Linked DNA regions of Styela clava. The protein of the gene in region 1 purifies or fractionates together with the protein of each later gene. This does not show direct contact. Links are inferred from orthologs where the notes say so. Each region holds a gene or a part of one and is shown on either strand. Other genes may lie near its edges.

Region 1 (13,327 bases):
AATACAATTGCATTTTAAAAAAACGAGCACACAATAGTTTTCCACTTCTTATTATGGATTGACAGTTTACCATTTTTAGTTGCAATAATCTTTTCACAGTTTATAATATTTTTTATCTTATAAAAATTGGCAAAATTGAGGCCTTTCATTACGCAGTTTACATTTGTATATAAAATATCTGGCACATAATAAAACACAGTTTATACCCTGATTTTGCCCTACCCCCAATAACATTTCTCTATGTGTCAAATTGAAGTTTAATCCATACTCAACGGTTAGCCAAGCGTTAACTATTTCCCAAAATTGCTGCACAAATTCACAGAGATAAAATAAATGTAACACGGTTTCAACATGCATATTACAAAATGTACATTTTGGACTTTGTGTTTTATTTATTCTATATAGCAGGTCATTAGTGGGCACTGCTCGCAAGGCAAATTTGACATGGAATGAACGAAGTCTGGATTCAACAGAGCAATAAAAAACTTTTTCATACAATGTAAACCAATTATCTAAGTTCCTGCACAATTCTTTTGACCATTTTTCTATTTTTTCAGTTGGCGGCAAAATTTTTTCATTACAAAGCTTATCATAAATATATCGAGACGTTTTATCAATGCTTTTAATATCTTCGATAAGACTAAGATGTGGATTGACTGGTGAGGTTTTTGATAAATTAGTTTTCCATTGCTGGGGTATACATGATATAATTTTTAAATACGCTAGCATGTCATCATAAAAACTAGAAAAACAATAATGATGAAAAACATACGGAAACATTGCAAGTTGCTGATTAGAATCACAAATATCTTCAACGAAACAAATATTTTTACTATTCCAATCATCCATATATAAAAGTTTTCCTTTGCAAGTTATATTTTTATTAAACCACAAAGGTTCATGTAAATGACTTACATCCCTAATAATCTTGGATTTGAAAATAAACCAATAGTACAGAGTATCTCTCAAACATCTGGAATACATATTTTTGATATACACTCCATGCGGATATACATTTCCATAAAATAAAGCCTTTCCTCCATACAAATTCAAGAAAAACATTTCTATGGATTTCCATGAGACATCAATTTCGTCATTTATTAAACATTTAACCCATCTTAATTTTTGACCAATGAGAAATGATTCCACATCAAGCATATTGACCCCCCCTTCCTTCACAGGTGCAATTAATGTCTTACGTTTTATTCTCTCCCATTTTGAACCCCATAAAAATTCATGGCATATCTTATTTACTTCCATTATAAAACTATTGGGCAGTATTACTGGTAAGATGGAAACTACATAAACCAATAAGCTCAACATCAAAGATTTAATCACAGTGATTTTTCCGAGGAAATCTAGATTTCTTTTGGACCATATTTGTGCAACCATTTTCAGTTTTTGAAGTTTTGGCAAAAGGTTCACAGTAAAAAGATCCGTATCATTTCCACACACATTAATGCCCAAAATTTTAAAACAGCTAGGGTTCCACTGAAGTCCTCGGTCTTGCATAGGAAAATTTTGCCAATTATTATTTGCACCCAGGTATAATGCTTGGCATTTATTCGTATTTATCTTGCACCCAGACATGGTAAAGAAATTATCGGTTTCAGAAAATACTGTTTTAATACTTTTTTGTGACCCATCACAATATACTGTTGCGTCATCTGCAAACAAGGAAATTTTAATTTCTGTATTTCCGAGACATATACCTTGTATATTCTGGTTTTGTCGCATTCTACATGCAATTATTTCAATTATTAATAAGAACATATATGGTGAGAGACTACAACCTTGCCTCAAACCTTTCTTAACTTGAAACATTCTTGAACTATAATTATTATTAACAACAGTGCTTTGACTTTGAAAATATAAAGTTTTGACATGGCATACTTATTCCTTTAAACAAATATTTACCAGTAAGGTTAGGACTGAATTCAAAATTTCAGGCATTTTTATCTTGTAATGTTGAAGCGTAACAAATTCAAGGTTGTTATCATCGAGTCGGCTTTTTAATTTTATTGGCAAAGTAGCCACAAAATACGAAAAAACACCTTCAGCTTCAACTGATATACTATATTGGATAGTTTTGGGTATTTCTGAAATTATTTTTCTATCTTCTCTGGTAACGTGGATCAGCATTTCTTTCTTCATCACATGTAGTACATTTTTACGGGGTGGTTCTAAATTTGGGAGGTGGTAGAAATCATAGAATTTAGAGATTTTGTGTTTGCCCAGTTGCAAAAAGCCAAAAACCTTCAAATAAGGCATGTAGCATTTGTGTTTTCCTGCAAGTTGAAAAGGGGTATTTCAATTTCGAAAGTATTTGAACAACACTAAATTTCGATATTTTATGAGTATGGATTGAAGACAGGGAAAAATCGAAATTATGCCACCAAATATTGAATATGATAGTTGAAATATTGCAGAAATCAAAAGGTCTCAAAGTTTATAATGAAACTATAGTACGATTTGAGTTCAACTTACCCAGTAGCCTAAATAAGAATGCGCCGACACATTTTCGTTAAAATCAGATGATTCAAATCTGTCATAACCAGTGATGGGATTTGCTCAGCTTCGACGCAAAGTGGTTGTCCGTTACGTTCTCTTACTCACAGGCTCTTTTATTTATCACACTTCAACCTGGCTTGATGTATTACGATATCTCTTCGCTTTCTTTTCGCTAGCGATGGAGATCGTATTTAATTAGCTGATTTATATCAACGTCCCTCTTGGCAACTCTGCCAGGGTAAATTACTTCGAAAAATGTTGCGTCGGTTCGAAGCACGTGCTTTCGTGCCCGACATGTCAGAAATAGCTTATTGAGAAGATGAATAAGAAATTTAAAATTATCCGTACTGACTCAAAACAAGTGGATGTAGTTATAACGCTTTTCAGTGCAATAGACCCATTTGATTATTATGCTTGTGATGCAATCCTTCAAATGAAAAAGACATATGTAAACCACGATTTTAACGAGAAATGCTGTATAGGCGGGTCGTGGGATAGGCACAGCCATCGGAAAAGATACCCGCCTGAACCGTTTCGAGGCCAGGGTAACTTCAACACTGATCAGTAATAGCGAACTTAATATATATATGATATGATAGTGTTACTCTTTCGAGAGCCCATGAACCACATGGAATATGCAGAAAGATGTTCGCAGGTCCGTCATCAAAGCATGCATAAGATAAAAATGAAGTTGCAAATTGGAACTACCCGCCGCCATAGTAGTCTAGAATCTAGATCAGTGGTTCCTAACCTTTTTTTCAAGCGACCCAAGTTTTTAAAAAAAATAAATTCTGTAATATCTCGCGACCCGAAGAAATGTACAAATACTAAACGGTATGTTGTTCTTGTAAGGCCGAAAAATAAAATTATTATTATAAAAATATCGTTTTTACATAACATTTATTTTTCTATGAGTTACTTTGATGTGAAGAAGTTTGCACTTGTTTGCTAAGAGCGAGTTTTTAAATTCGTAGCGTGGCTTTACTTGAGAAAAATAGATGCTGTCAAGTTTTTACACTGTTATACCTTCCACACAGGGCTGAATCAACCATTGAGCAAAATAAGCACATGCTAAGGGCACCCAGAAAAAAGGAAGCATCACAGATATTTCATAGTCGAAATTTTAATTGCACTTTAGTGTTTAATGAAATAACTAAAGTTGGTCTGACGACTCAAACCTTAATATTGTCCTTGTTAAAATAAATTTGGCTTTTTTTCAATCATCATATTAAACCTGTAGGCATGAGAACCATTTATGAATCATAATTTGGCCTTCAATCAGTATTGAATCCTGAAACTGCATATTTAATATCAGATAACATGGAACACTGGTTTCATTATTATACTGTATATTTTTATTATTACTTCTCATAAACTTATACATAGGGCATCAAATTCGTAAGCGCTTAGGGACACCAAAACTGCAAAGGCATGATCCGGCCCTGGACAGGATATACTGAAGTTTCGAATTATCGGAACTTTTATTGCCGTAGCGTCCACCATACAAGTATAGATAGCCTACCGATAAGTTCATAACATTAAAGTGAGAACATAGAAGAGAACTAAGTGCAGTTGGTGTGTTAGTAAGAAGCTTAATTAACACTGTTCCGCTTAGAGTGGTTGAGTGGAGTACGGCTACCGTACTCCTGTTTTCCCGGTATTGGTATTTAGGCATTTAGCCATTAGGAATATTGGGCGTCGAGAAGTAGCGGTACGCTACCACGGTTCTAGATACTGGTATATATAGCCCACAACATCGCTAAAACGAATCACCCGTTTGTTGAAGGGTTTGTTGAAATTTTCCACGAATGTATGCTGCAAGTTTTGGAATTCATTGCTCCTGATATAAAAAGTTGATTTTCCAGCATTAGTCTTTCTAACAACACAATTATGAGCCTTAACAAATCAAAACTTCGGTCCATACCGACATACAATCACTTGAATTAGAGCCATGTTTTGAATATCTGATTTCGTATTTCGAGCCAACCCGAATTACACATATATGTACAATGTACACATACACTATGTTAACTAAACTAAAGCAATAATAAAAGCCTATGCCCAGTGATGAGCTGTAGCCGGAACGCACCGGAACGGCGTTCCGGTTGTTAGACATTTTATTGCATTTGCGTTCCGGTTGTTGAAATAAAATTATGTCATAGAAAGTCCAGTTCTAGTACATCTTGTAAACTTACCTATTAACTTGCGTTTTTTTTACGCCACAATTCTTTTTAAGTTATATACAATTACCTCAAAATTAGGGGGGTTGAAAGTTTAGAGGGGTGCAGTGAAATCACTGTCCTGAAATACGCTACCGATACTAACAATTATATTCGACGTTTGTTCTATTATGGTTTTGCCCATGACGTCACTAACATAATATCACGATTTAATTCACCGTAACGATCCATAGGATTTAATTCTATGATATGTTTATTTCCGCGTAATTATAGGCGAATGTACACGTCGTACCCCTGAATTCTACACGTCTTCAAATTTACCCTGATTTAAGAAAAAAAAAAAATTAAATTTACCCCGATTTCAAATGCCAATAAATTCAATATACACCGAGTACTCGATGTTTTATGAAAGAAAGTATATTTGTACTTCCTAAGGTGAAACAATTATCAAACTAACAGTCATTAGAAATTTGCGCAATTCGACATTAATATTTTAGTGATTTAGTCCATAGAATTTGTTTTTAACGGATCAGAAAGACAAGTCTGGAATCCAGCCCAAATGCCTTCATACGGAAATATGACAAGTTTGGTTGACTCAACGACTAACATACCGGTTGACTTGAGCGCTTGATATAGCATGGAGCTTCGTAACATCCGCTACCAGAAAATACGAGGGAAGCCCCCTATATTCCCTGTACGTACTCGCTGTTTGTAACCCTAACAAGTCCGTCGTCAAAATTTACCGAGAACGAATGTTTTATTCCTCAAAAAAATTAAGGCGAGATTAACATAATGTGTAACAACGGTGAAACAATGAAACATTGTTTTGCGTGGGTCCGTACGTATTCTGGGCCAATGAAGGGCATTTTAGAGTATATTTCCTCATTGTTTGACTCTACTGGACTATATTCTAGCCAAGTTAACTATTCCTTTGCATGCGATAGTGTTATAAACTGAAGCCCATCTGTACAAACGATTCCTTTAGAAACCGTCTATCATTATTAACCCGTTGCAATAATTCGTTACATCAATCATGGCGTCACAGCGCTCAAAATTATAAAGGAGAGTAACTGTTAACCCGCGGGAAAAATGATCAGCTGACTGCATAGCAAATAGCACGTTCGGAGGCTAGTCTTCGTTTTGCTCTGTCTTTTGGATTTATATGTTTTTAAAATGCTTTTTTTCGTTTTTATTTGCGACGATTAAAATATTGGCAAGTTTTTGTTTATTAATTATATTATACAGTACAATTTAGAGTATCAGCATTGCTGTTGAATGCATAGATGAGGATTTATACATATGATAAATAGGACGCCGCGTCAGTATCTGAATGCTAACATACAGACATATCTGTACTGTATGTGTTCATGGTGCGAATTCCAAAATATGCCTTTCATACTATAAGTTTAGTTGTGCTTTACTAATGTCACATTTTACTTTACAGTCTATGTTTTCACTTATAAATCAGTTGAAGGTCATTAACTTCAGAACTTGGTATCAAATTAAGGTGCGTGTTATAGGATTTTCTGATTTTATAGTGATACATTTGTATATATAGATATACGGTAAGTTATAAATAAAGAGAAAGAAATACCTCATATCGTTATTATTTTATCTCTCAAATTTGTTTTGATTTTTCGTTGTTCACAATATTACATGCTAGCATTTACTGATTTATTTTCACATGGTTCCAGATATTAAACATATCATCTTACTGTGGTATCGTACTCTCTCACTTGGCTATATCAAGATTTGCGTTTATGACAGTAGGCCATACTGGTATAACGATATTATTCAAATACTTTTCCATCAATATCCAGATACCTCCGACATCTTTCTATTAACTCTCAAACCCCTAAAATGTTTGTGTAATTTTCTGTGTTCGCTACTGATATCTTCATATATTTTTGTTCAGAGGAATTCATTGAATATGGCTGATCGGAAGTCTGGAAGAATGATATGGGTTGACTTAGAAATGACTGGTTTAGATGTGGATAAAGATAAGATCATTGAAATAGCCTGTATTGTCACAGATGCTCATTTGAAAATCATCGCAGAAGGTCCTAATTTAATAATACATGAAAGTGAGGAATTGTTATCTGGCATGGATGAATGGTGTCAACAACACCATGGAGCTTCTGGTCTGACGGAAGCCGTACGCAAAAGTAAAATTTCTACAAAAGATGCTGAAGACGAAGTGTTGCAATTTGTGAAGAAATATACTTCTCCCAAAGTGTGCCCTCTCGCTGGAAATTCTGTACATGCTGATAAAAAGTTTTTAGATAAATATATGCCCATGTTTTCAAATCATTTGCATTATAGAATTATTGATGTTAGTACAGTAAAAGAATTATGTAAACGTTGGTATCCAGGCATCTATAATAAAGCACCCACAAAACAAGGATCCCATAGAGCTATGGGTGATATTATGGAGAGTATAAAAGAGCTCAAGTATTATAAGGACAATATGTTCATCCAAACTTGATTTTTAATGTGCTCCAAACTATTTTACAACATCTTTTTTGTAGTATTTGCATTCCTATCATGAATATGATACCTCCTATATCAGTTTTGGTACATTGTTGTTATACAATTTTTAAAATCTTACAATTCATATTCTGTAATAATAATTAGGACCACGCATCAAGTTGTATTGTGTACTAGAATGTTTCTGAAACCCAATTACAGCAAGTTGTAATTAGAACTATTCTAATACTAAGTACTAATATTAAATATGAACGAATGAAATATTGTATTTCCACTTTTCATTCATGTATTGTTTATATCTATTTTCACCAATCACAAAAATAGCAGTCTGGCTAAAATCTTCAATACATTTTGCAGTTTGAATTTGTACTTGTGTGGCTAAAATCTCAGTAGGAGTGAATAATAATTTTATTACATATTTAGTATCTCAGTCCATCTCAGCATCAGTGTGGTGAATGTTTTTTTTTACCATATTTTAAAAAAGTTTGTCTGATATTGGCATAAATTTTTCGATTATGTTGATAGGCCGTAAAGTCTGCTTGATTACAGTTATTTATGTTCATATTTGGTTTTAAATGATTTTAATAAATAGATTTATTTTGAAGTTAATGCTGTATGAAAATATTCACTTGTATTGTATTTTGTAATGTTCAAATTGAAATTTCACATGAAATATAGTTTATGCAGTCCAGTCTTGTACATCCAAATTCTTCACACATCTGATTTATAAATAGTCCCACATATCAACCTTGTCGTGATGGAATTTGATAATCTTCTTAAAAATAAAATCGTAGGTAAAACACTGTCTATGCAACTGAGAGTTGCCAATAATTCTGTAATTTTTTTTCTAATTGTTTCAGAAATTATTATCATCATATACAATAGTAACTATATTTACTTGACTTTGTACAAGATTTGATATTAGTTGTCAAGAGTACTTCAGGTGCAAAAATGGATGTTGTAAACCAGGCTGGACCTCGGGTAAACAAAGTTATAGATGGCATCGCAGAAAGAGTTCAAAAACTATTTCAGGATTTCTTGGAAGAGTAAGTCAAAAGATGTATATTGTTTTACATTTGGAATCCGATACTAATAAAGCCTCAAATGGTCGTTTGCTGTAGTGTACATTTTTGCTCTTGACAATCCGGCAAATTAGTGGCATTACATACCAGTAGTTTGAATTATGATTTTGATTTTCAGGTGCTTTGGCAGTTGTCTAAATATAAAGAAACTAATTTTTTATGACTCAAAATTATTTCAGGTTTTCAGTTGAAGGTGAAGTGAAATATCTTGCACCTGCTGAAGCTTTGATGAGACCTGAACGCAACACCCTTACTGTAAGCTTTACAGATATCGAAATCTACAATCAACAACTAGCAACTACTATTCAAGAGGAATATTACAGGTAAACTTTGATATTTATGAGATTTTTTCCATTCACATTTTATTATACAATGGTTATTCCACACTGATCATTCCCTATTTTGTTTCAGCTTGTATGCTTTCACTCTCTTGCTTGTTTTGTCATATATTTGGAAGTTCTCTTTCCTTTTTGCAATTAAAATATAAAATCGTGTTAGGTCTCATTACTTGTATTATATTACTTTTCAGAATGTACCCTTTCCTTTGTCGAGGTGTAAGAAGTTTTGCAAGAGAACATTATCGTGGTATCCCAGCCAGTAAAGATTTGTATGTTGCATTTGAAGAAGTTCCAACAAGACAAAAGTAAGCATTTTTGTTGTATTCTCTTGAAACCAATGATCAATATTTTGCAGGTTATTCTATCTTGTAATTCGTGATTGAGTTTTCTATTATGTTTATGAAATAAAGTCTTCCATCATTACAGAATAAGAGAGCTACGGAATGGAAGAATTGGAACATTGTTGAGAATTAGTGGTCAAGTTGTCCGAACTCATCCTGTCCATCCTGAATTGGTCAGTGGAACATTCACATGCTTGGATTGCCAAACTATTATAAAAGATGTGGAACAACAATTCAAATATGTGCAGGTATGTCTATTGTCTAAAAATCTGAAATCTGCAAACCATGGCTCGTGGGCCAAATCTGGCCAGTCAGGTGAATCAATCTGGCCTACTTGATTCTAGCATAAATTTCTGCTTTTAACATATTCTGCATGCACTACATACCGCAGTTGTTGTTAATTTTGTTCATATCGTACGCATTCTTGCCACTCTGCTCATAAGATATAACTTTTGACGTCACACTTACTTGCCTTGCCATTCTAGTTCGGGAAAATTTATGTTACCAGTTTCAAAAATCTTGCCCACTCCATTCTATAGAGCAGGGGTTCCCAAACTTTCTACCCTGGCAGACCGGTAAAATTAAATTAAATGTACTCGCGGACCGGCAAAAAATTGAAATGACCGGGATGGAAAAGAATAACATATGTTTGTGTAATGTAATGCAATGTCAGGCACTCAATATGCTTCTAGAATCTAGACAAAAAAGGTACGCTTAAAACATTTTACATGAAGAAAATCTATCAAATAAATCAAGACGTCGCAATATGACGGCAGAAGAGAAATTGCGTAATAAACCAACTCAACTTCATCTTCGGTAAAGCGATTGAGACGGCATAAAAATAACAAAACAACTAAATTTCTCGTAGCTTGGCAGACCAGCACCGGTCTGCGGACCGGCGGTTAGGTACCACTGCTATTGAGTGTAGGTTTTAATATTAAATGGAAGAAGCATGAACAGAATGCCTTACGACATTTTTGTATCACTATTTTCTTTTTCATTTTATTTATATATCCATTACAGCCTACAGTCTGCAGAAACCCACAATGTGGTAATCGTTCAAAGTTTGTGCTTGATACAAACAAATCCAGATTTGTTGATTTTCAAAAAGTGAGAATACAAGAAACACAGTCTGAACTACCAAGAGGATGCATTCCTAGAAGGTAAAATATGTTAATGGTTGGTATTTTACTAAATTGTTGTTTGGAGGTATTGTTGGGAATAGGTCACTTTATGGACCAATCAATTTCAACCATTCAATCAACTTTTAGTACGCGAGTTGGAAAATTTTTTTTAAATTTATTTCGCCTTTTTTAGCCAAATTTCCCACAATGCCTCGATGATTTCCAGTACTTTCAATGACGATAGGTTAAAATTTATCCTAAATGTTGATTCCAAATTGCTCAGCAAGTATTGACCACCCTGAAACTGTCAATATCTCGTGAGGACTATTTTTCAAAAAATTTTACCAGAGATTGGTTTTAAACCCTGAGCTTAGTATAGTTTTTCCAACTGACAGGAACTTAGTTGACGAGACAAGTTATTTGTTAAGTATACATCCACAATATACGATATCTTGATTATATGTTTATTCTCTCCAGTGTTGAAGTAGTTGTTCGTGCTGAAGCAGTTGAAATGGCTCAAGCTGGTGATAGATGCGATTTTATTGGAACGTTGATTGTTGTGCCAGACGTCGGACAACTTGCAACACCAGGGACAAGAGCTGAAACATCAACAAGAACCGGCGGTGACAGGGTAAGTCAATTACACAACATTGGTATTTTGAAGGGTTCTCTCGTATTATTTGTACCATGTTAGGGTGAAGCCATGATTTTATTCCGATTTTCCTTAATTTAGTTCTATTATGAGTTTAGGGACTGTCTTTGTTAGCCAAGTGAATACACCCCCTGCCCATAGGCTTCCGTCCCTTTACACAACTTGATGTAAAGTAGGCGAACAATAGCAGTTACCTCCATATGAGTACACATAGTTCTGGAGCTCCCAAATTCCATGCATACCACCTCACCCATGGTGTAGTAGATTGGGTAGGCGATGCCAAACTGGAATGATGATGGTCCTGTCAGTATAAAGTAGCTCCTTGCACATCAGTGGTACTTGTTAGAGTGAATGGCATATGAACATGTGATAAAAAATCATATTTGATGTTATAAATACATGGTTTTAGGATTAATAAGAATCGTTTTTTAAAAAATTATATTTTTGAAGTGTTAAAGACTCACTCAAGTCAGTATGACTTGATATTCTTTCTTTCAATTTATCGTGGAAACCCAATTGTATTTTCAATCGGATTAGCTAAATTTAAACTTGTTCAGTACACTTTTATGTGTTCCTTGTTGAACATGGTCCCATTACAGTGATACCTCGGTAATCGAACATACTTTGTTCAGGATTGGTGTCGATGCCGACTACTGATTTGTTGGAGTACCGAAACATTACCATTACCATAAGAAATTATAGTTCAATCTTGCGCATTCCAAAATACCCAAAATAGTTAGTCATGAAGATTGTGTACCATGGCTGATACTGTGGCGGATTGCATACCCGGACTAATTTGTTTTGGTCTTCGTGTTCTTATATTTAAGCGTCGATCTCTTGTTGAATGGTCAAGTGGCAACGGGATGACCGGTTCAGGTGACGTCATCTCACTTTACGCCAAGTTAGGTGTTCAAGCATTGAATTTTCATTCGAGCACCGCAGCATTTTTTGATCAACCTTTATTTGGTCGACTACCGAATTGTATCGATCGACTATCAAGTATCACTGTATAATCAATATTCCTTTTATGAAGATACAATTATAGATTGTATTTTAAATAGTAGATTTATTTGGTTTCGGTCATTTATAATTAAAAATGAAACCAAACCTCGCATATTTATTTTTATTGCAGAGTTTTGAAACAGAAGGAATCAGAGGTCTGAAAGCATTAGGTGTTCGCGACTTGAATTATCGTCAAGCTTTTCTTGCCTGTCATGTCACTGCCACCAATCCTACAGTAAGTAATCTTCAATTTTTTTCCATGTTTTGTATTTACAATGTCGGCACGGTTTGAAATAATTTTGAGTATATTTCAATTTTCTCTAATCTTTGTCAAAATGTTACATATGATGTTTATGAATGTGTGGTATGGAGACGTGATTCTAAAAAAGAAAATAATTATTATTCCATAAGCTAAATTTTAATAAATCATTGGTATTCGAATATGTTATTGTTATTGGGAAGTCCTTTTTATAACACGAAACTTCATGGAATTCAAATTTTGTCTGAACTAAATTTTTTACTCATGGCTAAATCAGAATTAGTATTGTGGTATGCATTCAGCATGTGTGTCTGACAGCAATGACTTAGCAGTTGAAGCGTAGACTTATCTGTGTTAGCAACGCAGATTACACACATTTAATTCAAATCCCATTCTCATCACCTGACCCAATAAATTATGGAGGCCGCGTCGATTCTGATTATTTCAAACAATAGTAGCACTAGCACCTTGCATATCGTTAGACGAAAGTGACTGCCTGAGCCTGAGCCTCAGGATTACGACTATAGTTGTGATTTTTGTTAAAATATCGATGAAAATAAGATCTTAATGACCCCGATTGTTACATTGTGCTCCTTTTTATTATATAAACGTTAACTCATCGGTTATAAATGAGCTGTCCTTCATTCATAGTTTTTCATATTAAGTTTTGAGCCTCCGGCCCAGTAACCAATTCTTAATCTGTAACTGACCCACCCAGAATAGTAATTGCCCACCCCTGCTCTAATGAATATATAGAAAGGCATGTGATTATCACTCATTGTCAATTACAGTTTGGTGGAAAAGAAATAAGATATGATGAACAAACAATCGAAACTATTAAAAATCAAATGACAGAATCGGAATGGGAAAAAATTTATCAAATGTCTTGTGATAAAAATCTCTACAACAATCTATGTCAAAGCTTGTTTCCAACTATTCATGGTAAGTAATAGATATATAAGGTTTATAAAGGCAGCTTCAATTTCGAATTTGTTGTGTAGTCAGTTATCTTATCAGTATATCTTAACTAGGTTTATTTTATTCTAATCAGTGTTTATGTAAGTTTTTTTTACCTCATTCAATGCACCTTCAGGGTCCAGCAAACTATATGGTATCTATAAATTCCTGTTGCAATTTGAAAAATTTATGACTTTATGAACACAATGTATATCTTCTCCAACTCACATGGCATTATTTTTCACATATAGTTATATAGTTATGAACAAAAAGATTGCTTAGAATTGAGGGTACAGTTTTGGAAATGCTAATTTTAATGGGATGCGGACAACTCGACTACAGAGAGGCCTGGTGAGTTGTCCGTCTTTTCGCATTTTCAACAGCGGTGTTTTAG
Region 2 (13,049 bases), on another chromosome or scaffold:
ATGTTCGGAACTTTCGGTTATCGTCAATGTAAGTAACAGCTCCCATTAATGGGCAGAGAATAATCTTGGTGTGATCCTGATAAATCAAACGAATATGGTATTATGTGATGTCACATGTCACAAATATGGTGTAATTCTATAGAATGTGGATAAAAAAATTTGTAACCTTAGAAATAAATATTATACAACTTTCTCAGTTTATTAAATTGATACTTAAATACTTACAGCAAAGAAATTAATCTGTAATGTTCCGTTACTCAGATGCAAGACAATGGCACTACGAGTCCTGAACCATGTACGTAAGAACGGAAGTCGAGCAAGTTGATCTCCTTCTTTGGGTGCCATGGATGCTCCAGCCTAGAAAAATGAATACAAAATGAATTCATTTTTAAACAAACCAATTGGACGAGAAATATTGCAAGAGTATGCATTTAGGTAGAATTGGGAATTCAAACAGATATTCAAATTCAGGATAATTGTATGTTGGGTTATGTTATATGGCAATCATATACACAAAATAGACTTAACGATTCCATATTTTTGGATCATTCGAACAACTAAAAAAATCTAAAAAAAATTGGAAAATATGTTTCAATATTATCTAAACAGTAACATACCTATCCCGACACATTTATCTGTCATCTTACCATGAACAACTAGAAAAATAAAAGAAAAAATGGAAAAGATTAATTCCAACTCCCACAAATCTTACCTTCAACAGGTGCTCACTCATGTAATTTCTGAAATACTTGAGAAGAGTAACTTTCTTAACGAGCATATCAGGGTATGTTCGTATAGTATAATATGATTCCGACATGTCTTTGTCAATGTATTCAATATGTTCACCATTTGCATAAAGCAAAATTCTAGTGCTGTCATTGAAAAGCACTCCATTGCTGTTGTCGCAAAGTTGATATCCTGTAAAACATACAATATTAAATTGAGCGTTACAGATTGAATATCATTTGTGAAGTTCCCAACTTAAGAGATAGGCAAAATATAATAACGATGGTTTTTCATTATACTGGTGTAAATTTAATGAATATTTAACACAAATATACTACTCTGAAAAAATGGGAATACATAGGGCCCAAAAATTATCTGAATGAAACACATCATTAATGAAAACCCCTTTAATTTATGTAAAATTTTAAATAGAAGTTTATTGGCGTTTGTGGGTGGAATGACTATAGAAGGCACTGTTGATAACTTTAAGAATTTGGCTTCAACCTCCAAGCCTACAACCAGGAAAAATTCAGGTACTCTCGAGAATAGTGCTCCACTGATAACAGTGGTTGCTTGTCTTGGGGCCTTGTTCTGAATTAGGGTGAGAAAAAGTTTTTTGAAAAATCTTTTCAAAATTTAAATAGTAAAAGTTCAGTTATAGAATATATTACACATGAATTATCATGATAGATAAATGAATTGAATAACTTCAGATCTTGAAATCCTAAACCTAGATTACAAACGTATATCTACATTATATTCCGATAAATATTAGACTTACCCAGTCCATACTTGTCTGTGTAATCCACCCATTTACTGATCCACAAGACTGGATTAGCTGCTGGATCTTCCGCTTCATCTGTAAAGTATGTATGAAAGAAATGTAACTCTTGAAACTCTAGGATAATTGACAATACTATATATGTCAAAATCCAGAAAAATAAAAAATTAAAGATAAATGAATGAAATATTAATAATTAAGTGAATTTAAACAGGGCATAGGAGTATTCACTTACACACTCGTATTCTCTCTCACAAGATGTTGCAACATTCAGCATGGTGACAATTTACACATGCCGGATGAGCCAGTAAGCCTGGATTAGTCAACATTGCTAAGCAATAAGTAATCTCACTGAAACCTACCAAAAATACATTTGAATATAATTTTAAGTACTTACCCATATTAACCGGGTTTCGATGAGAAGGATTGCTGTCAATAAGTTTAGTGAGTTGCTCAAATAATTCACCCATATGAAAATCAGGAGATTCATTATTGCATATCTCATTTGGTTCTGATTTTTTCCCAGCCATTTGAGCAGGAGTGTTATCAGAACCTGACAGAAGATTAAAATTAAAACATTAGCAATGTTATTGATAGCATTACAACTTGTGTTGTTTAACTATACAGGTAATCAAAGATTGCTTTTGACAAAACACTTCAAAGATTATTCATTGTTTTATCTATTTTCGAATGTGAGCAGATGGCATCCACAAAATTTTAATGTTTGTATTAGTTGAATAACATTTTTATCATTGTACCCCTGAACTATATCTATTTATTGCATGCCTGTAATTGAAGATGCAAGTTTCAGAATTAAAGCGGTAGGCTATTTAAACTGAGGATGAATCCAAACACCATCTCGTAAATCAAAGCGTTTCATCAAAAAGCAGTTCAACAAAGTAATTTTCAAAAACTTGTGACTTCTCATAAGTCATACCATTTATATCCTGCAAAGGTTTCCTTTGAGATTGCGTCTGCATTTCAGGGAATCGAGGTGCCATGGTCAAACAAGTCGTAGGTAGTTTATGAGGAATATAACCATTAAAGAAGTCACTTTCCAGAGCTTCCTTCGCTGAGGGTCGAGATGAGGGTTCATTGCATAGCATTCTAAAAATGAACAACAAATTTTATTGAGTATCGTTCAAAAAGTAAACTAGGAGTAACTCCAATGGTCGAATCCAATTTGTTCAATTTAAAAGCTACTAAAACTACATAAGATACTAAAACTACCTTTTTATTAAAGTCTTGGCAGCTGGAGAAACATGATGAGGAATTCTGTATTCATTTTTCTTTATTCTGCTGTAAGTTTCTTTCAATGTTGAGGTTTCAAATGGAGGTTTACCAACCAGCAGTGTGTATCTGAAAAAGGATAATCTTTCCGATATATGGTACGAAAAAATTACAATTCACAAGACAAACACAACACAAAGAGGAAAATCAGAAAAGTTGCCTTAACTTCAAATGAGGTTTAAAACAAGCGACATGAAATGCCATATGGGCAAAGTAGAATGCGAGTAAAAAATGCATCAGAACATTCTCTAATCAGGCTTTGATCATGTGATAATACGGGAATTTTAGTGAACAACCCAATGAGATACTCTCTGAAATTAAAATTATTGATCATGAAAATGTGTGAACTTACAATACACAACCAAGAGACCATGTGTCAACTTCGAAGCTGTGTCCCTTCTTTCCTAACACTTCAGGTGCAATGTAATTGGGTGTACCACACAATGTTTTCTTTCTTTCCCCTTCAAAATCAACTTTGGTTGCCAAGCCAAAATCACCAATTTTCACTTCCATCTCATTGTTTAGAAAAAGATTTCCCAACTGGAAAAATTGAATGTACATTAAATTATAAAAGATAAATGAAGAGATAGTATGTATACTGAAATTTTTGATCCAGATTATATGACAATTTTCGGCAATCAATATATTTTCTTCTGTACACTATTCCGCTATCATAATCTACCACCTTTTTTAATAAAAAAAAAAAACATATCCGTAAATTAGTCAAGTCTTGAGAGCTAATTTCATTATACATAATAGGTAATAATAATAAAATGGTTACTTTTATATCTCGGTGTATAATTTTTTTGTCATGTAGATATACAACTCCAAGCAGAATTTGTTTCATATAGTATTTTGTCTCTGGTTCGGTAAGAGCTTTTCGTCGCTTGTACAATTCCATAAGAGACTGTAGAAAGAAATAATAGAATTTTGAGAGATAAAAAAATGTTATGTTATCTGCACTGCGGAACCACATAATGACAGCCGCTGTTGTTGTTCAAGTCAAAGTTTAAATGTGTTATTTTAATAAATTGTTTTCGATTCATCCAAAATTGTTGACAGCTAGAAACATTGCTGTTTCATGTAGTGAACATAGCGTATCGGTACAATGACGCGAGTAAATTTTGACTAATCTGAACAGGTACAATATTTCAAATGACAAAGGTTTTAATTTAGATAGATGAGGAAATGAGAGTAAAATAAGATTTGAACAAAACTCAAATTATACCCTTCTTTTGCACAATTCCAAGACAATATAAACAAAATCTTTATCTTCAAAAAATCCATGGAAACCAACAACATGATCATGATTGAGGCTACGATGAAGACTAATTTCTTGAGTCATTTTTTCTTTCTGATGAGGCTTCACAAGAAGTGCCTAAAGTATGGAAAATAGCAAAATTGAGTATTTGAACAAATAATATTGGAAAGTGACAAAATGAAATAGTATTAGAGAAACCTAGTTTACAATTTCATTCTGGACTAAAAGATAACTGAACGGTAAATTATGGATTCATGATATCTGCCAAATTTTGAAATGAAATTTCATGAAAATGCATTTAGTTTTCATGAACCTAAATTATTACATGACAGTTCATAAACAATTTCTTTAAAACTTGTTTTACTAAACTCTGTGTAAACCATAATGCACTTGCCAAAATTGAATATTATTCTCAACGAAATATGAGAAAATACGATACATAATTTAATATATTGAGATGTGAAGAGTAGCTTATTTTAACCTTAGGAACAATTTTTCCAGCTAACGTTTCTTTTGTTTCATGATCTGTTATTTCAAAACATTTAGCGAATCCTCCTTTTCCCAGAAATCTTCCGCGAGTATAACGTTTTCCAGAGTTGTCATCACACAGAATCTCAGGGATCTCCTTCATCGGAATATCCTTCTTAGACATGTTGGTGCTGGTAACTTCTTCAAATGATTGAACGCGGAGAAAATTCAGATGTCAATAAAATATTTAGTTAATTCTGACAAGAGAAAAACACTAATTACTGAAATATTACTAACAAGACGGTAAAAAGTATTACTGCGTACAAGGGCCCAATGATCATCCCTAAAGCTTATTGTTTCATACTTTACTTTTGATGGATATTTTATTTTTGATTTAACAGGTGTCAACCTTCTGTTATTTTGAAGGAATAAGTGCTTAGTTAAAAATGAAATTTACCGCGGTTGGCCACATCAGGAAATAATTTTGGATTGATGCCTATGGACAGATAGCTGGATAGATGAAAAATAACGATGGAAGAAGTTGTCATTCACAAAACGCATTTAATGACTATTCTATCCAAATATTTTTAATCCTGGCATACTGAATATCAATTGAAAGAAGTTATCTGACCACTTCCAAATAGATCATTCAGTCATTAATCAGTTTTACAAACACCATGAAAGTTGATATTTCATTCTGAAAGCTACATAAGATGATCACATTTCTGATTTCTGGATTTAGTCAATCACATGACTTTGGGCAAAATTTTGCTATTTCTTCAGTCAGTCTGTCTTTAATGACTAACCAGTATTGCGGCAGGTCGGTCCAAACACTGAAACATTAAACACAGTCTCGATAGGTCCGTGGATGTTCAACTCCACCTTATTCTGCTATTGCAAAATTTCTAAATAATCCACACATGATATTTTAAGGACATAGATAAATGAATAATAGCATCCTAGTTACGATCTGCTTGGAGATGAGTCGCGACACTGTTGCGTTTCAAATCTTTCCAAACTGGCGCTTATACAAGCCAGTACCGAAAACTAACAAACAATCTCGGAGGCGACTTCAACAATTTGAAATTCAACAATTTAGAAGTGTTCCCGTTTCAAAAATAAAATGTAAAAATCTCCGGTAACAAAGCCCTTATATTGAATTACACAAAAAATAACCGCTGTTCTTGTAATTACAGGTGCAAAAGCAATTCTCTAATACACACATACGATAAATTTAACTAATTTTGATAAGATTTGATTCAAAATACACAACAGTGAGCCCTGGATATCGAGTCTTTTTCATCTTTTTCATATTACCTTTTGCCAAGTAAATACACGCCGAACACAGGCATTTAAATCTCATTTGAAACTCGCTGTTCCAGCGACGGCGGTTTCTGATTGGTGTACAAAGAATGACGTTTCTCTTTCTCATTCTCTCATATTAACATTTGGCGATTCTCTCGTCTCGTCGTGGGTTGTCAGAATCCAAATTGACTAGTCACTTTGTTAGAGTCAAAGCGCATTCAAGAGGTTCCATTACATTTGAACCCACGTACATTTGAACCCACGACGATTGCATCTGCATACTATTGCACCTACAGAAAATTTTTTTGATTTACGGATATTTGAACCCATACTAACCTAACCCATGGGTTTTAGCACCTGCATATAGATTGAACCCGCGGATATACACATGGGTTCAAACGTACGGTCACCCATTCAACATTCTCGAGGGTGGCTCGCCGTCTCACATCTGAAGAATTCACACAAAAGTATTTTATTCTAAAAATATTTATTATTTGGAAAAAAAGTTTGATTTCACACTCATGTTATATATATATATATATATATATATATACTGTATAGGGACGACGTCGTGTATCAGGTATAAGTATAAGTTTATTTCGACTCCATAATCAGCAATAGACGATAAAAAAATAGATAAAAGTAAAAGTAACTGATTATAGAATCGGGAAAGCGAACAAAACCTAGAGTAAGGTTTGAAACGTACAGATTTTAGATGGAAAGGTATTGATAAAAGAAGTAGTACGTGTTCGCTCACCCAAAAGTAAAAAAAAAAAAACTAATTAAGGCACGCATGCACACACACACACAATCATCGAGACATGATACAGTCGGAAGCGAAAACAGCGAGACTTAAAAGTAAAAAAGAAGGAAAATATACAAACAAATAAAAAAAAAATGAATAAATTCTTTTGCCACACCAAATCAATAATTTTATGAGGATTGCCAAATTGGATACCGAATTAGTCAACAAGAGTAATGTATTGTGGATATAAAAGTATTCCTCAAAAGATATCGTCAAGCTGATTATAATTGGAGTCACTTAATGCCAAATTGCCCAATCAGAATTGCCAAGTTGGATGTATGAAGAGGTGGGCTAGACCTGCTTCACTCATCAAATAGAAGCCACAACAAGCCAAATAACGTCCAAATTATTTTAAATACTATTAATCAATAACAGTACCGGTAATCATAATTAAAATTAATTAGGGCGGTATGATACAGAGGTAAGAAAATTGGTTAAGGGAATATATATGGTGTTTAAGGTTCAAGTAAGGTTTCTAGGGTCATGGATTATAGGCAAGTAACTTTAATTGAGGTTGTTGATCACTGCGGTCAGTTCAAATTCATCACGGATGATTCATCAGTCTGCAAGTTTTGTTGTTGTATACACCTTTCATGTTGACATAGATAGCATTTAAATTGATCATCATGACGTCCTGAAAAACGAAAAATATATCTGCGAGTACAATGTTCAATGATTGCAAATAAGGAATCAATAGAAAACTACCCTACACCTTTGAGTGGAAGTTGTTGAATTGTGTAAATATTGATTAATATTAATTAAATATCATTAGACTGCTAGTTGAAAGACCTGAGAAAGAAGAGATTGTGGTTGGGACACAAGAGAAATTGTTCACAAACCATGCAAAAACCTTTCGATGTCGGTCAAACCACACATATGTATGCCATTATCTTAGTCATGAACATCACACTAACCCTTACACATTTGCATGCTATACACAGCATAAATTCGACCAAGGATAAAAACTTTGTACACACGCAGGACATAGCATATAGTACTACAGCAAGTTAAAATGTAGGGGAGAATCCAAATATACCTCGACTGGTCACCTAATTACAATATTAGGTACAGGAGTTAAATTATACCGTCTACAACCCTCACAAAGAATCCCATCACCCAAACAGAAAACAAAGTTCACGCATGTGGAATATCAGAAACCCAACATTGAAAAAAAAAGGAAACATGCGCATGCAGATATCAGAATGTGAACAGCCATAATAAGGAGAATCTTATGCTATAAAACAAAATAAATGGCCAACTACAATGCAAAACAGATGGAGAGAGCTCAACTGCTTGTTCAAAATTAATTAGTAATCTCAGAAATAATAACAATAGGGGGGGAATCCAAATATACCTCGACTGGTCACCTAATTACAATATTAGGTACAGGAGTTTAATTCTACTGTCTACAACCCTCACAAAGAATCACACCACCCAAATAGAGAACAAAGTTCACGCATGTGGAATATCAGAAACCCAACATTGAAAGAAAAGGAAACATGCGCATGTAGATATCAGAATGTGACAAGTCATATTAAGGAAAATCTTATGCTATAGAACAAAATAAATGGCCAACTAGAATGCAAAACAGATGAAGAGAGCTCAACTGCTTGTTCAAAAATAAATTAGCAATCTCAGAAACAATAACAATGGGTGTTCAACATTCTTATGAAAACAATAAGTATGTGCAAGTGCTGAGTGTCCCAACTTATGTCATGGTCTTTCTTTTGAAGTTGTAGCTAATTACATACGAAAAATATATAACAGTGTGATTCTAATTATAAATTTTAATATTTTGATACCAAGTAGGACTTGACTTTTTCTGAAAAGATTTTTTTGATTTTAATGTCTTCAAATTCAAGGGGAGAGAATTCCACAGCTTGGGCCCAGTATAACATAAGGCATGTTGGCTCACAGATGTACTCATAAAAGGTATGAACTACTACTACAGGTTGGAACTACTTCTTCGATTGGAAATAATTTTAGTTAGTATGTCGTCGAAGCAGTTTGGCAAGGAATTGTTATGGAAATCATGGACTAATGATAATACTTCAAATTTCATTATATCTTCAACTTTGAGTATATTTAGCTTTTTATAGAAATGGTTTACACTTTCACGTTTACCTTTCCTAAAAAGAATTCTTAAAAAATTATTACAAATACTTTGCAATTTTGAGACAAGTGTTTTATTACCATGGAGCCAGACTGAGCAACAATATCGGATATGGCTGAGTAGTAATGATTGAAACATTGCTAGTAAAGCTGATTGATTAACACACTGGGATACTTTGGCAGCCACTGCCAAGTTTCTTTTTGTTTTACTAATAACATGCAATATGTGTGATTTCCAAGACAGATTTCCATCGAAGATAACTCCTAGAAATTTTCTTTCTTTCACGCTTTCAATTTCATTGCCATTGAGCAGCAGTGGTTTTGTACAACTCAGACTTTTATGCTTGTTTGGATGGAATAATACAAATTTAGTCTTGTTAGCATTAAGAGATAATTTATTAACTAACATCCAGCTATGAATGTTGGCTAGTTCGTGGGCTAGTTCAGGTCTTGAAATGGAACCGATGGCTTTGTAACAGTCGTCGGAGTCTCAGTACTTTGAACTTGAAACGTATATATACTATAGCGAGAGTCGTATGCCGAAATTATTTTAACTCAGGAAAATTAACGAAACACCGAGTTATTTATTGAAACGTCGGACGATTTGATGAAATGTTGTACCTAGATTGTGAGGGAGCCTGCTGCTTTAGAAAATAGTTGAAGTGCTTCTGACTCGGAAAATAGTTCCTGACCTCCTGAATTTACTCAGGTTTGATATTTGACGCTTTTGTTTAAAACAAAGGTCTATGGGCATCTATCGAAAGCTGATGCTTAACTAATGTATTTTAAGGAACGGTTTCATGTAGATTCACACTTTTCAGCTATGGACTTATGTATATATATATACATCTATTTGCTGCATTTCGGTCACATGTTATTTTTTGCTGCAGTTGGGCTACTCGTTTTCTGTGGCATATGGTGAGCCACTCACAGCGTTATTTTTAGCGGTTTTCAATAAAAAATGGTATGACAAAATTTCACGCAAGTAATACAGTTCGTTTTAAATATAGTGGAGATGGTGCCCAATCGTCGTCGCCCAATTCCGAGGGACTACGTTATTTAGCCTATTTGCGGGAATGAGGAACATCATTGGATATGGTCGACACCGCGAGCTGGCTATTTAATCATAGTCCATCATCAAAACCGTTCACGCTTCCCCTAAATGCTTTGCTTGTAAGCCACTGCCCACCTGTTGAATATATTTGTAAAAATATAGTCTGCAAAACGCTCTGCCCGGAAACAGAGCTCAATTACCTGTAAACATTGAAATCACTCGAGTGTGACTAGATTGACGGGTACTCGCATCCGAGACCCCAAAACCCGATTTTGCAAAAAATAAACCTCTTCCTTTGGCCTGATCACTTTTGTGGGTTTTGTAGACATCGTGACAGACCTTCTTGCCAAGTTTGGCACAGATTAGTTCCCTGTAAAATGTTCGTTTGTTCCCGAAACCCCGAATATACTTTCGTATCAAGTTTCGTCGTGCGTAACGACATCTGACTCCGACTGCGCTTTCGAACTGAAGTGCTCTCGGTTGCCTAATCACAAATGCGTTTCTCGTGTAACAGACGATATTAGACTATGCACATGAAAATATGAGACTACTCATTTAATTATTTTTATACTCGTAATAGATGACACACATGGAAAAATAATAAATTGACAGTATACATACTGAAAAGTATTGTTCAGGAATTGTTCAGAACTAAAATCTCATCGTCTACAAAATTATATTTTGCGAAGTAATTGCAATTTCAAAAATAGAATAGACTATTTTATTGAGGTCAAAATGTAACCTGGAAAGAGATCTAATAGCGATATTTTGAAAGTTGTTCATAGTGGAGTTTTTAATACCACATGACAAAATTTCCATAATTTCATAAATTGGATTATTTGTTAAATGACTTATTGCTGAAAGTTACGAAGTCGTGAGTTAAACTTCAAACACATATGGATGAGCGAATTTTCAGACAAACTTAATTTTTTTTTGCATTAGTCGATGTGGGAATTTTATAATTATATCTTAAGGGAGTGGTTTTGATTACCTATATGACCTCGGACCCCAAAATGGAAAATTTGTTCTAGTGCATTTGGATTAAAATTTTTAGTATATTCGGATATATTTCAACATAAAAAAGCTAAAAATGTTATCATCAATAAAATTCGGAAAAATTGGATTTTAAATTTATTTTTTTATCGTTTTTTTCGGCCATCACTTTTGATATATTTGATGAAAACCAATGATGTCAATACCACTTGGTATTTCAGAGACGCATTAAATTCGCAAATAAATGGGGTTAGAAAACTAATTATCGCATATCGAAGTTACTATAGGGTTTCACCGATTATCTCAATTTTGTGCGTTCGATGTCGTTTTTTGTTGTATTCAAATGTATTTGTCTATAATAAGTGCATCACACGTGCTTTACATCACTTTTAGGCAAAAGAACTAGAAAATATCGATTCATGATGTTGAGGGTCTTGAAATCTCCATAATTATTAAGTTGTTTTGCGATAATTTATTGTATTAACAATTGAAAGTATTTATATGAGCAAGTTAAAACTACACGTTGTTTTTGGTACCTCCCACCGTTAAATCGAACCATCACCTGAATAATTTCCCGTTCTTTGAAATAAAATATATTCTTTCAAATATAGTTACCATTTCCAGAAAAATTTTACCATTACCAGAAACTTTTCCTAATAAATGCAATATTTCGTGTTCTGATGACCGTAAGTTGCATAATTATATATTTAAAACGGGAGAACAGAGGAAATGGGGTGGAAAACGAAATAACTCGGCATCGTCAGGAGCAATTCAGACTTTCCGTACATAGACGTGTCCTAATTCCTACGTTGCCACAAGTCTCAGCAACAAATTGTACCCCATTTGTTTAATTAGGAATGCTGTCGCTAAAAGAATAACATGAGCTTTTAAATATGCCAGAGTTCCAGTTCGTTAAAAAAATTTCAAGAGCTGAGTAGATCTTTTTAATCTGAATTTCAATTTCAGGCAATATATATATCTGAGTGGGATGCGTCCAAATTAGTCCACAGTGTATAGGCTATTAACTGATTTGCTTATTTAATAGTCGGAAAATAGTTACGCCAGTTAATGTAATTAATATTATGTGTTTACAACAATGCGGAAAAATCCTAGTAAAAGTACACAGTAATCAAGAATGAATATCACGATGACCGCTATATATCACGCACCACACTTTTTCTAGTACTTCGTTGTCAGCGATTCAAAGTCCAGAAACGTTATGAAGGTATTTCGAACAATTTTTACAAAATGAATAAAAATAACCTATATTCATTTGCCAAAATGGGCATGGTTTCAGAATCCAGTTTCATTTTTAAGATAAGGGAAAATCAATATATATTCAAAAAATGGTGCGCGTGTTTCGTGCCGAAATTTTAAAGAATTTAAACACCAATTGAAAGATGCATTATCAGAAACTTAGAAAAGAGGGGAGATATTACATATTAGAAAATAACCTGAGTATCTTTAAGAGAGAATGTAAGAGTAAATTTATTTCTCATTTACTTTTAGTTTCACACCAATCGCTTATTCACTTCCTCATAAAGCATAAGGTACATGTATAGGTACATAAATTTTGAGTTTGAGAATTAGATACAGATGTTAAAAAAAGACATTCCTTCTCGATCATCAACATATTTTACCAGGCTCGCATCGATTTCGATTGTAGTTTTGTTGGCATACTCAGAATCAACACTCACTTAGAGGCCAGCTTACAATGCTATATCACTTATATTCCTGAATGGTAATAGATAAACTTTTATAGTGCACAAGAGAGGTTTGGCTGATAAATAACTTTCCAATCATACCAACGGTTTGTGGATATTCGGCCAATATGTCTTTTTTCCGATATTTGTTGAACAACTTCTTTTTTCAGATCAACCATATGATTTTTCTTGCGATATTTACTAGTTTTATCCTCACCGAATTCTTCATTCTCCAAATATCATCTTTCCTTCCACATGTTTTTGAATGACTCCGACGAATTATTTTATATACTGTACAATGAAGCACATATTTCTGCAATCATTTATTGAACCGCTTTAACGTCTTTCATTTATTAAACCCTCAAAATGGAAGCAAAGCGCTTTGTTTTTTGTCTGTTTTCTTGTTAGCATCGTAATTCACCACATCTGCGATTAGGAAAACCACGCTAACGTTATTTGATCTAAAATGCATCTTCAGCAAAAAAATGATTTTGTTGATTTGGTTTGGGAAAATATAATAATGTACCGGTATGAATGTTTGGCGCTCCAGA

What was found.
Region 2: the proteins of DNA replication licensing factor MCM6-like (region 1) and serine/threonine-protein kinase PLK1-like purify together in Homo sapiens (affinity purification with mass spectrometry; 3 studies listed by BioGRID and IntAct, with this or other methods). This does not show direct contact. The link is inferred for Styela clava from reciprocal best matches to the Homo sapiens genes MCM6 and PLK1.

The regions. Positions count from the first base shown.
Region 1 is NC_135258.1:11,782,292-11,795,618, reverse strand, and holds the start of DNA replication licensing factor MCM6-like, read left to right. Parts: upstream 1-8,031; 5' UTR 8,032-8,129; coding exon 8,130-8,224; intron 8,225-8,439; coding exon 8,440-8,583; intron 8,584-8,789; coding exon 8,790-8,903; intron 8,904-9,024; coding exon 9,025-9,187; intron 9,188-9,962; coding exon 9,963-10,102; intron 10,103-10,540; coding exon 10,541-10,694; intron 10,695-11,847; coding exon 11,848-11,952; intron 11,953-12,767; coding exon 12,768-12,918; intron 12,919-13,327. Other genes in the region: putative oligoribonuclease, read left to right, coding at 6,115-6,198, 6,607-7,176. UniProt on the Homo sapiens protein: Acts as a component of the MCM2-7 complex (MCM complex) which is the replicative helicase essential for 'once per cell cycle' DNA replication initiation and elongation in eukaryotic cells.
Region 2 is NC_135260.1:16,480,019-16,493,067, forward strand, and holds the start of serine/threonine-protein kinase PLK1-like, read right to left. Parts: upstream 4,805-13,049; 5' UTR 4,711-4,804; coding exon 4,540-4,710; intron 4,176-4,539; coding exon 4,026-4,175; intron 3,705-4,025; coding exon 3,579-3,704; intron 3,338-3,578; coding exon 3,150-3,337; intron 2,867-3,149; coding exon 2,738-2,866; intron 2,615-2,737; coding exon 2,445-2,614; intron 2,061-2,444; coding exon 1,905-2,060; intron 1,586-1,904; coding exon 1,508-1,585; intron 919-1,507; coding exon 713-918; intron 358-712; coding exon 226-357; intron 77-225; coding exon 1-76. UniProt on the Homo sapiens protein: Serine/threonine-protein kinase that performs several important functions throughout M phase of the cell cycle, including the regulation of centrosome maturation and spindle assembly, the removal of cohesins from chromosome arms, the inactivation of anaphase-promoting complex/cyclosome (APC/C) inhibitors, and the regulation of mitotic exit and cytokinesis.